Saccharomyces cerevisiae S288C: one gene and its partner. The protein of the gene in region 2 purifies or fractionates together with the protein of the main gene of each other region. This does not show direct contact. Each region holds a gene or a part of one and is shown on either strand. Other genes may lie near its edges.

Region 1 (8,721 bases), on a different chromosome or scaffold from region 2:
CATGTTTGGCTGGGATACCGGTACTATTTCTGGGTTTGTTGTCCAAACAGACTTTTTGAGAAGGTTTGGTATGAAACATAAGGATGGTACCCACTATTTGTCAAACGTCAGAACAGGTTTAATCGTCGCCATTTTCAATATTGGCTGTGCCTTTGGTGGTATTATACTTTCCAAAGGTGGAGATATGTATGGCCGTAAAAAGGGTCTTTCGATTGTCGTCTCGGTTTATATAGTTGGTATTATCATTCAAATTGCCTCTATCAACAAGTGGTACCAATATTTCATTGGTAGAATCATATCTGGTTTGGGTGTCGGCGGCATCGCCGTCTTATGTCCTATGTTGATCTCTGAAATTGCTCCAAAGCACTTGAGAGGCACACTAGTTTCTTGTTATCAGCTGATGATTACTGCAGGTATCTTTTTGGGCTACTGTACTAATTACGGTACAAAGAGCTATTCGAACTCAGTTCAATGGAGAGTTCCATTAGGGCTATGTTTCGCTTGGTCATTATTTATGATTGGCGCTTTGACGTTAGTTCCTGAATCCCCACGTTATTTATGTGAGGTGAATAAGGTAGAAGACGCCAAGCGTTCCATTGCTAAGTCTAACAAGGTGTCACCAGAGGATCCTGCCGTCCAGGCAGAGTTAGATCTGATCATGGCCGGTATAGAAGCTGAAAAACTGGCTGGCAATGCGTCCTGGGGGGAATTATTTTCCACCAAGACCAAAGTATTTCAACGTTTGTTGATGGGTGTGTTTGTTCAAATGTTCCAACAATTAACCGGTAACAATTATTTTTTCTACTACGGTACCGTTATTTTCAAGTCAGTTGGCCTGGATGATTCCTTTGAAACATCCATTGTCATTGGTGTAGTCAACTTTGCCTCCACTTTCTTTAGTTTGTGGACTGTCGAAAACTTGGGACATCGTAAATGTTTACTTTTGGGCGCTGCCACTATGATGGCTTGTATGGTCATCTACGCCTCTGTTGGTGTTACTAGATTATATCCTCACGGTAAAAGCCAGCCATCTTCTAAAGGTGCCGGTAACTGTATGATTGTCTTTACCTGTTTTTATATTTTCTGTTATGCCACAACCTGGGCGCCAGTTGCCTGGGTCATCACAGCAGAATCATTCCCACTGAGAGTCAAGTCGAAATGTATGGCGTTGGCCTCTGCTTCCAATTGGGTATGGGGGTTCTTGATTGCATTTTTCACCCCATTCATCACATCTGCCATTAACTTCTACTACGGTTATGTCTTCATGGGCTGTTTGGTTGCCATGTTTTTTTATGTCTTTTTCTTTGTTCCAGAAACTAAAGGCCTATCGTTAGAAGAAATTCAAGAATTATGGGAAGAAGGTGTTTTACCTTGGAAATCTGAAGGCTGGATTCCTTCATCCAGAAGAGGTAATAATTACGATTTAGAGGATTTACAACATGACGACAAACCGTGGTACAAGGCCATGCTAGAATAATGCGTTTGAAGTGAGACGCTCCATCATCTCTCTTAATTTTTCATGACTGACGTTTTTTCTTCATTTTAATTATCATAGTATTTGTTTGAAAAAAAAAAAAAAAAATTTCCCTTATCAATGATATCCTTACGATTATATAAATTCCTTACCTAAACCTATTATTTGTGTACATATATCAGAGTATTATTACATATATAACCTTTTTCTCTAAAACAGGAAAAAAAAAAGAAAACGATAACATGCTCTGCCATCCTTTGTTCACCGAGCAAAATTAAAAACGCAAAATGAATTGTCCCTATGAAATTATTAAAGGACCACATCACCAGACTTATCTCTGGGGGGTCCTCTAGAAAATAAGTCAGGTACTTGCCTGGACTTTCTTCCAGTTGAATTCCTGAGCTAACATACAATTAATGGAGTGAGAATGTTCGAACGATCCAGGAGTTGCTTTTTTCAGTCATTTGTTTATCAGTGTAACAAGCATTTCCTTTATTTCTTTTATATCAACCTGCAACCTATTAATATTCAATTCAACGTCTCGGAGCTTTTCTCGTACCGTTTTACCATCATCCATTTCCATGCTAACTAATTCTGAGATTACGATTACATATTGTCTCAGTTCTGGTTCATCAATGGCTGATAAAACTTTCATTACATTTTGGAAAAAATCTTCGTCATTTAGGTCTAAAGTCAGGATTTGGTTCCTTATAGACTCTCTACGATCTTTTTTCAAGTTTTTTTCTGAAGAAATATGTCCATTTTCATTAGTGACAGCGGTAGAGTCCTCTTCCGCTCGAACCAAACTATCACTGCCGGTGTTTTCCTCTCGAAAGGGTTTGTCTTTACCAATGGAAAGACGCCCGTCTTCTGCGCTTTCATATAATTTGACAGTGGCTATATTGAACTGTTCTTGCAAATCGCCAGTTTTGGCATCCCCTACCCAACCTTTTTCATGCAATTCCTTTCCTTGAGTGACCCAAGCGACGAGGTTATCTCTAATATATCTTGAAGTTATAGGTACTCTTGATTTCTCCTTATAAACTCTGTTAAAAAACTCAGCTATCATTTGATGACATAATATAGGTCTCCTTTTACTTGCTCTCTTTGTTGTGTGGAGCAAGAGGGCCCAATATATGACTGTTAACTTTTCACAAAGACTTTTTTCTTTATTATTGGACCATCGAAACTTCCTTAGTTGCCTTGTTTCCGCTTCGTCATTACTGTTTCCCCCCAAGTCTGTGGGGGCTCCAACGTGCAATATGTCGTTGTCAATATCACTAGAAGTATGAGTTTCCACATTCAACTTGGTATTAGTAGTGTTAATTCTTTTATTAAAGCAAATAGTATGTGTAGATTGCAGGAGGTCGAAGCTCTTCGGATTGGCAAAATCAATATTCTGCTCTATAATTTTCACAGGTTTTGTTGGCAGTATTTGTGCAATTCCTGTCATTGAGTTTCTAAATACATTCTTTTGGTCATATTTTGAAGTGCTCTTTTTGCTTTTATGTACTTTTTTTGAAGAGGACGCATTCACATTTGTTACTTCCAATTTCTCTTCCTCCATTTTTGGCGTTTCAGAGGGCTTTCCGTAATAATCTTCAAAGGAATTTAAAGTAAAATTCTTAAAGTTGGACATCCAAAAGGATCTTCACAATATAAGCGTTTTTCTGTCCACCAGCTTCAACAAGCTTCAGCCTACTACCAATTTCTAATACTGTTTTATCTTATTACTTGCTTACTTATCCACTCCCATTGTTTTGTCCTAGATGACAGCATCACCCGGACTGAATATTAAAGCGTCAGTGTCACTTATTTTAAGTCATAATCAAGTCCTTTTAATGTGGCTATAGATTAACCCTGTACACTAAAGCTGTATATTATTTCCTTAAAGGAGCATTTATTCCCAAACTGTAACGCAGAATGTCATTCCAGAATCATGGAAAAAAGATTCAAATAAATAAATGTATATACACCAAAAATTACAACTTCGAATCCTATAGTACTTTTAATCTTTTTGAAAAAAATATTACTAAAAACTATGTATCATGTCCAAAGGCCATAGGGCCTAGCATTTTCTTTGTTAAAAAAGATAAACAGTAGAGAAATAAATAAAAAACGCCCTAACCCAACATATAGGACCTCTTTTTCGTTGGCCTAGTCAACTTTAATGGATGAGTAGATTTTTCTAACAAAGAGCATACTGCTGATAAAGCCAATTGACCCCGTTACCAAACAGCAGAGTAATGAAATGACTGAGGAGTATCCCACGTATAAGACAATAGTCGTGAATCCACCCAACTTAAATTTGGTGAATAAAATAGAATGAATAAACACATACAAAGCACAACCGGCGCCTCCAATTATGAATCCTCTCCATTGCCACTTCCAGTTCTCCAGGCATAAGGAATGATAAGTGATCAAAATAGTGACGAGTGAACTTGTCAAAGTTAATAGGAGGAAAGAGAAAAAGAGGAAACCAAACATGTAAAAAATCTTATTAAACCATAAACTTGTGTATATGAAATACAACTCAACGGCGATGGAGCCAAATGGAAAGATACCAGCAATCAAAGTAGCTGGTATAGTCTTTAAATACCAAGGCTGGAAGGGTATTTGTCTTGCGATTTGGTTTGTCTTGGTTGGATGTTCATCCCAGTGACATCTTTTCCTGGCAATCAATGAACCAGCAAATGATAATGGGATTGAGAACAAAAACCATAGAAAAACCATAAAAAACAGAGTACTTGCTGGTATGACACCAGAAGAATGAACAAACATTAAGAAAAAGTTCAACGCAATAATTATTAGCAGAATAGCACCAGGAACTAGAAGTGGAGTCAATATCAAGTTTGCCTTCCAGTATGGCCCATTGAAAAATTTGTAGATGCCCATAGATGTATAAGAGCCGACAAACCCGAATAATGCATATAAGATAAACATAACAGTGGCTAAGGAACCTCTAGAACTAGGTGATAGGAAACCCAATGCAGCGAAGAAGATACTGCAAGTTACCATCAAAAATAATTGAACTCCTGAACCAACCAAAATTGAAAGGGTTAGCGATTGACTTGGCGAACGAAAAACATCACCATGATTCAATTTCCAACCCGAATCTTCTTGAAAATCATCGTCCAAATTTAACTCGTTGTAACGTGCGAAATCACTTTTCAGTGCGCGCAATAGCGAATGGATAACAACAGATGACAATAAGACAACAACTAAGGAGAAATTTATCAAAGAAAACCATTGAATAGAAGGATCATATACGTGTAAATATTTGTCCCACCTGGTGGCCCAAGAAGTCGCTGATTCATTGAATTTAACGGAATAAGTAAAATAAACTTCATTATCATTTCCTTCGTCTAGCATCAATGGGCTGCCAGTCGTTTCACATGTACCTGGACTGGAACGTTTTATGGAAACCGGTTCGACGATAACACCAACTACACGATAGTTACCTTCACCACGATCGTGATATTCAATCATAATATCGAAATGGTTGGCAAAGTAAGGCAATTCGTAAGTTTTCACCATGTTACGATCATTACGTGTTTCCAATTCCACATCCTTATCGGTGGTTTCTGCCCCTTTTGGAGTAGCCTCAATGTCGGTTCCTTGAGTTACCTGTACAAAACCAAGGTTGAAGCCAGCACCATAAAAACTAGTCTTAGTTCTGCCATCATAAACCTCTCTTGCAGCCGGTAATCCATCAATAAGCCAGTTTTGGAAGAAGCCATTTTTTATCAATTTATTGATGAATTTAGCATCATCTCCCGGAATTACGGTCTTACACAGGGATTCACACTCTTTTTCTTGTAACATATTCAATTGGAATGGTGAATTATAAATTCGATCACCAAATATAACGGATCCCAAGGATTCAGGTTGCTTTTCGACTTTTTCAGGCTGACAAAAATGGAATCTATTGTAATAGTAGTCGTATGAGTACAAGAAATTTTCTTTATCGCCAGAAACGTTATTACCGTCCTCATCTTTGTGTTGATAATTCATTGATGGAGTTAAATGATTAACGAGCAATGGGATGTTGTCATTTTCCCTGTAAGTGGTAGGCGCTACACCTGGTAAATAGAAGGCTTTGACTGTTGACACAAAAAAATACAACAACAAAAGCTGTACGTGTGCCATTTTGTAAATCATTCTGTTTTGTTTTCCTTTCGGTACTTGCTCTCTGCTACTAAATTAATATCTGAAAATATAACGGTAGCAGATGAAGGAAAAGCTGGACAAGGAGCCAAAAATTAACTTAACTAACGTACCAAAAAAAGATACAAATAAAAACAACAAAGCAGTTCAAAAACCTTGAATTACCTTTTTGTTTATCATTAGGCCTATTTCTTCGAACCGATGACATTTTTCATGGCTTCACCAAGTAAAGAAAAATTGCCGTGAAAAAAATTTAAAGGGCTGTAACCCGGACTTTTGTATTATAAGTTAAAATCACTCATTCTCAGGCAGTATTGGTAACATTCCAAGTGACTTCCAATACGTGTTGAATTTACTACTAACATTCCAGTGCAAGTAGTAATTTTTATTAAGTTTTGATCAACTTAGGATTTTCCTATTTTATTTTTGTTTATTATATTAAGTGTTCATTATTTTAAGTAGTTATATATTATATAATACAACCCCGATTAGACAAACTTCATAAGTTTTTCGGGTGGGACGGTATCAAGCATTTCATTCTCATCAATTCGCGGTTTAATGGGCTTATAATCACCCTCTGGATCCTTAAACACGTAGGCAAGAATGACGCCTGCAATACCAAGGACAGAAACTGTCCCTAATGCTAGTGCAAGACCAATTAAAACGACAAAACCACGACCTATTTTCTTCTTCTTCGATTTTGATTTAGATTCACTGCTTGCCGATGAAGATGGAGGCTGGGATGATGTTGACTGAGGACTTGTCACAGTAATGTTCACATTGGCAAGTGGTGACTGAGAGTTGAATTCAGTTGAAACGTCTCTATTAATAAAAATTATTGGATTGTAATTGGAAGTATTTGTTGTTTCTGAAATAAAATATGGGGTCCATTTTTGGAAATCAAACAACAAACTTTGTAGGTATCCGTATTGCGAAATATTAAAATTACCATTAAGTAAGAGGATACTGCCATTATTAACATTGTTGATTCCTCTCTTGTTCAAAGTGTTGGATTCAATATCTGTGTATATAGCTGAAACAGAGCTAATAGAGCTAGCATTGCCAGGTAACGAGGTAATATTCCATTCTTGGTTTCTATAGATAAATAATGAAGTATCATTCCATGCCACTATGGAGTCTTCAGTGACAGTAAACGAATTCAGTTTCCCTTCAGAACCACTCAATAATGGAATCATAGTAGAATTGGTTAAGTTAAAGGATCCTAAACGTATAGATTGGTATTCTTTTGTTTCAAAAAGGCCTGAGATAATTAATTCTGATGAGTTGGTGAAGGAAAGTTGTGTGATTTCACCAAAAATCGTGTTATTGAGGAAGGTAGACCAAGTTTTGCTTTCATAATTGTATAGACATAATCCGGTGCAATTCGGCTCAGTCATTTGGAAATCTCCGCCGACAAGCATACTACAGTTTTTTTCAAAGTTAACTAAAGCATTTATTCTAGCATTTGATCCTAGTGTTTCATTAGCAATCATGGTCAAATTTCTCAAATCAAAAATCGACAGTTCTGCTGTGGTTGAAGATCCTGCACTGACAGCTAGTAAAGTTTGATTATCAGCGTATAGCATTTGAGTAATACCGCTAGACCAATTCCAGGAAGGATAAACTTCATTAGAAAAATAAATTTTGTTTAGAGAATCCACCTCATATGCATATGCCGTGGCAGACTCATTTAAATAAGCTCCCAGGTAAGGTACAATACCCCCTTCTAGGTTAAGTGGCTCTATTTCATTTTCGTTCAAAAAACGTACAGACCCATTCAAATTACCATATTGCATATGAGATACTGCACCTGAAAACAAAACATCGCCATCGCCATTGTTACCAGCCGCCCAAAGTGATAGACTAAAGGAACTGGAGTTCCGTATAAGCGCATTGGAAGATGCATTGACCACATAATCGTTATCAAGAACAATAAAGTCGTTATTTGCAAGACTTATATTAAGGGCACTATTCACTGTCCTCGATTGGTTGAAGACATTCTCAAATGATCCATTAAACAAAAAAACAGCTGATTGATTATTTGATGAAAGAATATCTCCAAATATTAGTAAACCTTGGTTAGTTTTCGTTATACCATGTACATCACCTTGAATGGTTTGGTTTTTACTTGATGTAACCTCAAAGTCGTCATTAAGGTCGACAATGGAAATACGGTTGCTTACTCCACCAATTACTAATTTGTTATCGTAAATGTCAGCATAAAGGGAAGAATTTTTAGGGTAATTTTTTACTGGGAAAAGATTCAAAGTAGTATTACCTACCTTTGTTTCGTTCAATCTCGTGCTGGTAAAGTTTGATTTCTGGTATTGGAGAATACCATTCAATAAAGTTTCTTTTTTAGCGTTGCTAGAATCTGAAAGTGTGTTAAAAGCATCTAAAGAAACAGTAATGACATTAACTTGATCTGCCACGACCACTGTTGCAGTGTTGGTTGTATAAATTCCTGAGACATACTCCAAAACGATCTCCGGTGAGAAATCTAGATATCCCGAGTAGATTTGATCATATTTTAGATTATCATTATTCTGGTAAATCAAGTACGTCTTCATTATTGTGTTATTTTGTTGATTCCACATGGTCACGTTTACAATACCTCTTGCGGAGCACGTATTATCCTGAAGACACCCTGGTGTATACATGTTGATAGTGTAGTGACCGGGGTGGATAATGTTTGGGTAAAACTTTACGCGTGGAATTGGCTCATTTTGATCTGGAACATATTTCGCGGCTATATAACTTTCACCTGTTAGACCATTATACCAATCATTGCTCGACAATGTAGATGACGACGAATCATTGGTAAGCGCGCTGCAGCCATATTCGTTGAGAGAATCATTAGCATAAGTGGAGAATGTGTCCTGATAGAGCTCCAAACCGGATAATCCAACACTACCACCGTATGAATTTAATGCTACAAATTTTAACGATGAAACGGGAAGTTCATTCACAAACGCAAAGTCTTGGAAATCTGACGTCCATTTTACGTCTGTCTTGTTGTTATCGATGAAGGTAATCATGTCCATGGATGAAGATACATTTTGGCTTGCTGATAATAAAGT
Region 2 (5,898 bases):
GAAGCTACATTCAGGCAGTCCAAAACGTCGGCAATAGGATGGCATGTGGCGACAAGACAGAGAGATCAAGATCACACCTAGTTTTTCAATTACACGTAGAACAAAGGAATAGAAAAGATGATATATTAAAAAATAGTTCTTTATATCTGGTTGATTTACACGGGGCAGAGAAGTTCGATAAAAGAACTGAAAGTACGCTATCACAAGATGCGTTAAAAAAATTAAACCAATCTATTGAGGCGTTGAAAAACACTGTGCGGTCCTTGTCAATGAAAGAGCGTGATTCAGCCTACAGCGCAAAAGGATCACATAGTTCTGCTTACCGTGAATCGCAATTAACTGAAGTGTTAAAAGATTCCCTTGGGGGAAATAGGAAAACAAAGGTGATATTGACATGTTTCTTAAGTAATGTTCCAACTACCCTATCAACACTAGAATTTGGTGACAGTATTAGACAGATCAATAACAAGGTTACAGATAACACCACAGGTTTAAATCTGAAAAAAAAAATGGATCTATTTATTCAGGACATGAAAATTAAGGATGATAATTATGTTGCCCAAATTAATATACTAAAGGCTGAAATAGACTCTTTAAAAAGCCTTCACAATAAATCTCTTCCCGAAGACGACGAGAAAAAAATGTTAGAAAATACAAAGAAAGAAAATATCAAACTAAAGCTTCAATTAGACAGTATTACCCAATTATTGAGTAGTTCTACCAATGAAGATCCTAACAATCGTATTGACGAAGAAGTTTCTGAAATATTAACGAAAAGATGCGAACAGATTGCTCAGCTTGAGTTATCTTTTGATCGACAGATGAATTCCAATTCTAAGTTGCAGCAAGAGTTAGAATACAAAAAGTCAAAAGAGGAAGCCTTAGAGTCTATGAACGTTAGGCTACTAGAACAAATTCAGCTTCAGGAAAGAGAGATTCAAGAGCTTTTAACTACTAACGCCATCTTAAAGGGTGAACTAGAAACTCACACTAAACTTACTGAAACACGCAGTGAAAGGATAAAATCTTTGGAAAGTTCTGTCAAAGAGCTTTCTCTTAATAAATCTGCAATCCCATCTCCTAGAAGAGGGTCTATGAGCTCGTCATCAGGAAATACTATGTTGCATATCGAGGAGGGTTCTGAAATATCAAATAGCCCTTGGTCAGCCAATACTTCCTCAAAACCTTTAGTATGGGGCGCGAGAAAGGTTTCTTCTAGCAGTATAGCAACCACTGGATCACAGGAGTCTTTTGTGGCAAGACCGTTCAAGAAGGGATTAAACCTCCATTCGATAAAAGTCACTTCGAGTACTCCAAAAAGTCCCTCTTCTGGAAGCTGACTATAATTAAGTTCGATAATTGTACGATACAACTGTGTAGTATCTTTGTAATTATAATCATGATGATAACGCTAATAATTTGTACGTATAATGCTGACTGAAAGATGTACTTTTCTTCTACCGTTTTTCTTCGGCGGCTATTCGTTTACAATGATTTGGAAAAATGAGAAAAATTGAAAATAAAAAATTCTGCTCGATGAGATGAGATGAGGTTATGATATATATGTAAGAATTCCTCAAGAAGAGGTTGCAAGAGTCTGCAGACATTATCATGGCAGCAAATAGCAATAGTAGAGTTGCATCAAACCATACTTCTAAAAAACAAAAGGTTAGGAGGAATATACATCCATTCACGAATAACACTCGGATTAAAAGAGCTAGTAAAATCGTAAAGTTTAATGATTCAGGCGAGGGCGACCATGTTTCAGACCAACGTTCGAACAAGGAAAATGTCCTTACTTATAAATCTTTGAAAAGTCGGGCAAGCGATTTACTCAAAATGAGAGAAACACTTCCCGTTTACCAACACAAGCGAGAAATAATGTCATATATTGAAAGCAATCCCGTTACCGTCCTTATTGGTGAAACAGGTTCTGGTAAATCAACACAAATTCCGCAATTCGTATTAGAAAAATTATATGATACGAAGAAGCATGGGTCGATTGCTGTAACTCAACCCCGTCGTGTTGCGGCCATCAATTTGGCTACACGTGTTGCTCAAGAACATGGTTGCAAACTGGGTGAACAAGTAGGTTATTCTGTCAGATTTGACAATACGACTACTACAAGAACAAGACTTAAGTATCTGACTGACGGTATGTTACTTAGAGAACTTATGATGAATAGTGACCTTAGAGAATACAGCGTCATCGTTATCGATGAAGCGCATGAAAGAACTGTGCTTACAGATTTGATATTGGGGTTCTTAAAATCCTTGATACAAGGGCCAAGACCTGATTTGAGAATAATTGTTATGTCTGCAACATTGCAAGCCGAAAAATTTAGTGAGTTCTTCAATAATGCCCCAATCTTATTTGTAGAAGGAAGAAAATTTGATGTCAAACAATACTACTTGAAGGCGCCAACAGATGATATAGTAGACGCTGTCATCAGGTGTTGTATACAAATAAACCAAGGTGAAGAACTGGGAGATATCTTATGTTTTTTACCGGGCCAAGAAGAGATTGACAAAGCAGTGACTATAATGGAGAAAATTGCAAAGTATGTTTCAGATGAGGCCCCAGTACCATTAATAGTTCCTTATCCTTTATATGCAGCTCTTCCCGCGGTCCAACAGTCCTTGGTCTTCGCTCCGATAAAGGGTTTCAAGAGAAAAGTCGTCTTTAGTACCAATATTGCAGAAACATCTGTTACCATATCCGGTGTTAAATTTGTCGTTGATTCTGGTCTTCGAAAAGTCAAAGTTTGGAGACATCAGCTGGGATTAGCCACTCTACTTACCGTACCCATTTCTCAGGCAAGTGCGATGCAGAGAAGTGGTCGTGCTGGTAGAGAAAGTGAAGGAAAGAGTTTCAGGCTTTATTGTGAGTCTGATTATGTGAAATTACCTAAACAAAGTGAACCTGAAATAGCCAGAAGTGACGTCACATCTCCTGTGTTAATGTTGAAGAGATATGGTGTTGATGACCTGCTAAACTGGACCTGGTTTGAGAACCCTGGAAAGGAAGCTATAGTAATGGGGCTTCAGGAACTTTATGAATTGGGTGCTCTTGACACTCGTGGAAAGATAACTAAACGGGGTCAACAAATGGCTCTGTTACCGCTACAACCGCATTTAAGTAGTGTCTTAATTAAAGCCAGTGAAGTCGGATGTTTGAGTCAGGTCATTGATATCGTCTCTTGCCTTAGTGTGGAAAATTTACTGTTGAATCCGTCACCAGAAGAAAGAGATGAGGTGAACGAGCGTCGTTTGTCCTTATGCAACGCTGGTAAAAGGTATGGTGACCTTATCATGCTGAAAGAGCTTTTTGATATCTATTTCTACGAACTAGGGAAAAGTCAAGATGCAAGCTCTGAAAGAAATGATTGGTGTAAAGGATTGTGTATTTCGATACGTGGGTTTAAAAATGTAATTCGTGTCAGAGACCAGTTAAGAGTTTATTGTAAGCGTTTGTTTTCTTCAATCAGTGAAGAGGATGAAGAATCCAAAAAGATTGGTGAAGATGGCGAGCTAATTTCGAAAATTTTAAAGTGTTTCTTAACTGGGTTTATCAAGAATACAGCTATAGGGATGCCAGACAGGTCTTATAGAACTGTTTCCACTGGAGAGCCGATAAGCATTCATCCATCATCTATGCTATTTATGAATAAAAGCTGCCCCGGTATAATGTACACGGAGTATGTCTTTACTACGAAGGGATATGCCAGAAATGTTAGTAGGATTGAACTTTCATGGTTACAAGAAGTTGTCACTAATGCAGCCGCTGTAGCAAAGCAAAAAGTTTCTGATTCAAAATAAGTCACCTACTCTTAGCGCATTTTTATTGTATATAAAGGCATTTAATGTAATTTATAGAGCATTATAAATCGTAACAACTACTGCAGTATGAGTTTCATGGATTCATTTCTCAATATCTTATGAATATACACAGGTATATATGTATATTCATGTTAAACGCCTTTCGAATTGTTCGTTGGCTTTTTTTGTGAAATTATCTCGGGAAAAGGGCGAAATTATATTATTTTGCCGTTGACATTTTGAAAAGGAATAAAAGATCATGAAAAAAATAAGAAAGGCAATTCGACGCATTTCTCTCAGCAAGCTATTCTTTACTTTTGAAGAACAAAATATTTTAGCAAAAAGGTTAAGACAATATAGTCGGAAGCAGTTCTGCGGGATCTGAAGGAATTGCGGAATAATGAGATTTCACGATAGTATACTTATCTTCTTTTCTTTGGCATCGCTTTATCAACATGTTCATGGTGCAAGACAAGTCGTTCGTCCAAAGGAGAAAATGACTACTTCAGAAGAAGTTAAACCTTGGTTACGTACGGTTTATGGAAGTCAAAAAGAATTAGTCACTCCTACGGTCATTGCCGGTGTCACTTTTTCTGAAAAACCAGAAGAAACACCAAATCCATTGAAACCTTGGGTATCTTTAGAGCATGATGGTAGGCCAAAAACCATTAAACCAGAAATCAACAAAGGTCGAACCAAGAAGGGAAGACCTGATTACTCAACTTACTTCAAAACGGTAAGTTCCCACACATATTCTTATGAAGAATTGAAGGCTCACAATATGGGCCCTAATGAAGTTTTTGTAGAAGAAGAGTATATTGATGAAGATGACACCTACGTCTCCCTGAATCCTATTGTCAGATGTACTCCTAATCTTTACTTCAATAAAGGTCTAGCAAAGGATATCCGCAGTGAGCCATTTTGTACCCCTTATGAGAATTCTAGATGGAAGGTTGACAAGACTTACTTCGTTACTTGGTATACAAGATTTTTTACAGATGAGAATTCCGGTAAAGTTGCTGATAAGGTTCGTGTTCATTTGTCCTATGTTAAAGAAAACCCCGTAGAGAAGGGCAATTATAAAAGAGATATCCCTGCAACTTTTTTCTCTTCCGAATGGATTGATAATGACAACGGTCTAATGCCGGTTGAGGTCAGAGATGAATGGCTGCAGGACCAATTTGATCGTAGGATCGTTGTATCAGTTCAGCCAATATACATATCAGATGAAGATTTCGATCCACTACAATACGGTATTTTATTATACATCACTAAGGGTTCAAAAGTGTTTAAGCCTACTAAGGAGCAACTGGCTTTAGACGATGCAGGTATAACAAATGATCAGTGGTATTATGTTGCATTATCTATCCCTACTGTCGTGGTGGTATTTTTCGTCTTCATGTACTTTTTCTTATATGTCAACGGGAAAAACAGAGATTTCACAGATGTTACTAGAAAAGCTTTAAACAAGAAACGCCGTGTTTTGGGTAAGTTCTCGGAGATGAAGAAATTCAAAAACATGAAAAATCACAAGTACACCGAATTGCCATCTTATAAGAAAACCAGTAAACAAAATTAGATTCCCTTCGAAGTATGCATTCACCCTTCCTCGAGAGGGCTGTTTTTATCTTCCGTCACACTAATAGAAAACCACTCTATCCAGTTTTTTTTGTTACTTAACTTATCTTAACTCGATATTGTATAAATACTGAAGTCCATATACTTCTTTTTTTCTCCTTTGGATAGTAAATACGGTAAATTAAAATTAGTGTAAACTGAACAATATTAACATATATAAATCATCTGTACGACAATTTGATACCAAATAAATAGAGAATGCATCAGCATCCTCCAGGGTTCAAAAGAAAACGCTGGATCTTGCTTCTTTTCCTTTGATTTCTCCTTATATCCATTTCTGTCTTGCAGCAACTTCACATATTTTTTCCAGTGTAATGACCCTTGGATCAGGCTTAAAATGACGCTCAACCACATTATCATCTCCTTCCACATTCCTGCTAAGTAAGCTTTCTTCGTCGCCCTCGCTATTGTCCACATTATCTTCATCTTCATCATCATCTC

Evidence for each region.
Region 1: the proteins of PSG1 (region 2) and EMP70 purify together in Saccharomyces cerevisiae (affinity purification with mass spectrometry, with the first as the bait; 2 studies listed by BioGRID). This does not show direct contact.

The regions. Positions count from the first base shown.
Region 1 is NC_001144.5:290,460-299,180, forward strand, and holds EMP70 (Emp70p), read right to left. Parts: upstream 5,636-8,721; coding exon 3,632-5,635; downstream 1-3,631. Other genes in the region: galactose permease GAL2, read left to right, coding at 1-1,477; SRL2 (Srl2p), read right to left, coding at 1,935-3,113; RAX2 (Rax2p), read right to left, coding at 6,130-8,721. UniProt on the Saccharomyces cerevisiae protein: With TMN2 and TMN3, plays a critical role in the late stages of a nutrient-controlled pathway notably regulating FLO11 gene expression. Acts downstream of RAS2 and TOR. Essential for cell adhesion and filamentous growth.
Region 2 is NC_001143.9:287,234-293,131, forward strand, and holds PSG1 (Psg1p), read left to right. Parts: upstream 1-4,219; coding exon 4,220-5,398; downstream 5,399-5,898. Other genes in the region: SMY1 (Smy1p), read left to right, coding at 1-1,340; DHR2 (RNA helicase), read left to right, coding at 1,612-3,819; AAN1 (Aan1p), read right to left, coding at 5,723-5,898. UniProt on the Saccharomyces cerevisiae protein: With EXP1, the specific cargo receptor protein for the plasma membrane ATPase PMA1, is involved in the transport and/or maturation of PMA1.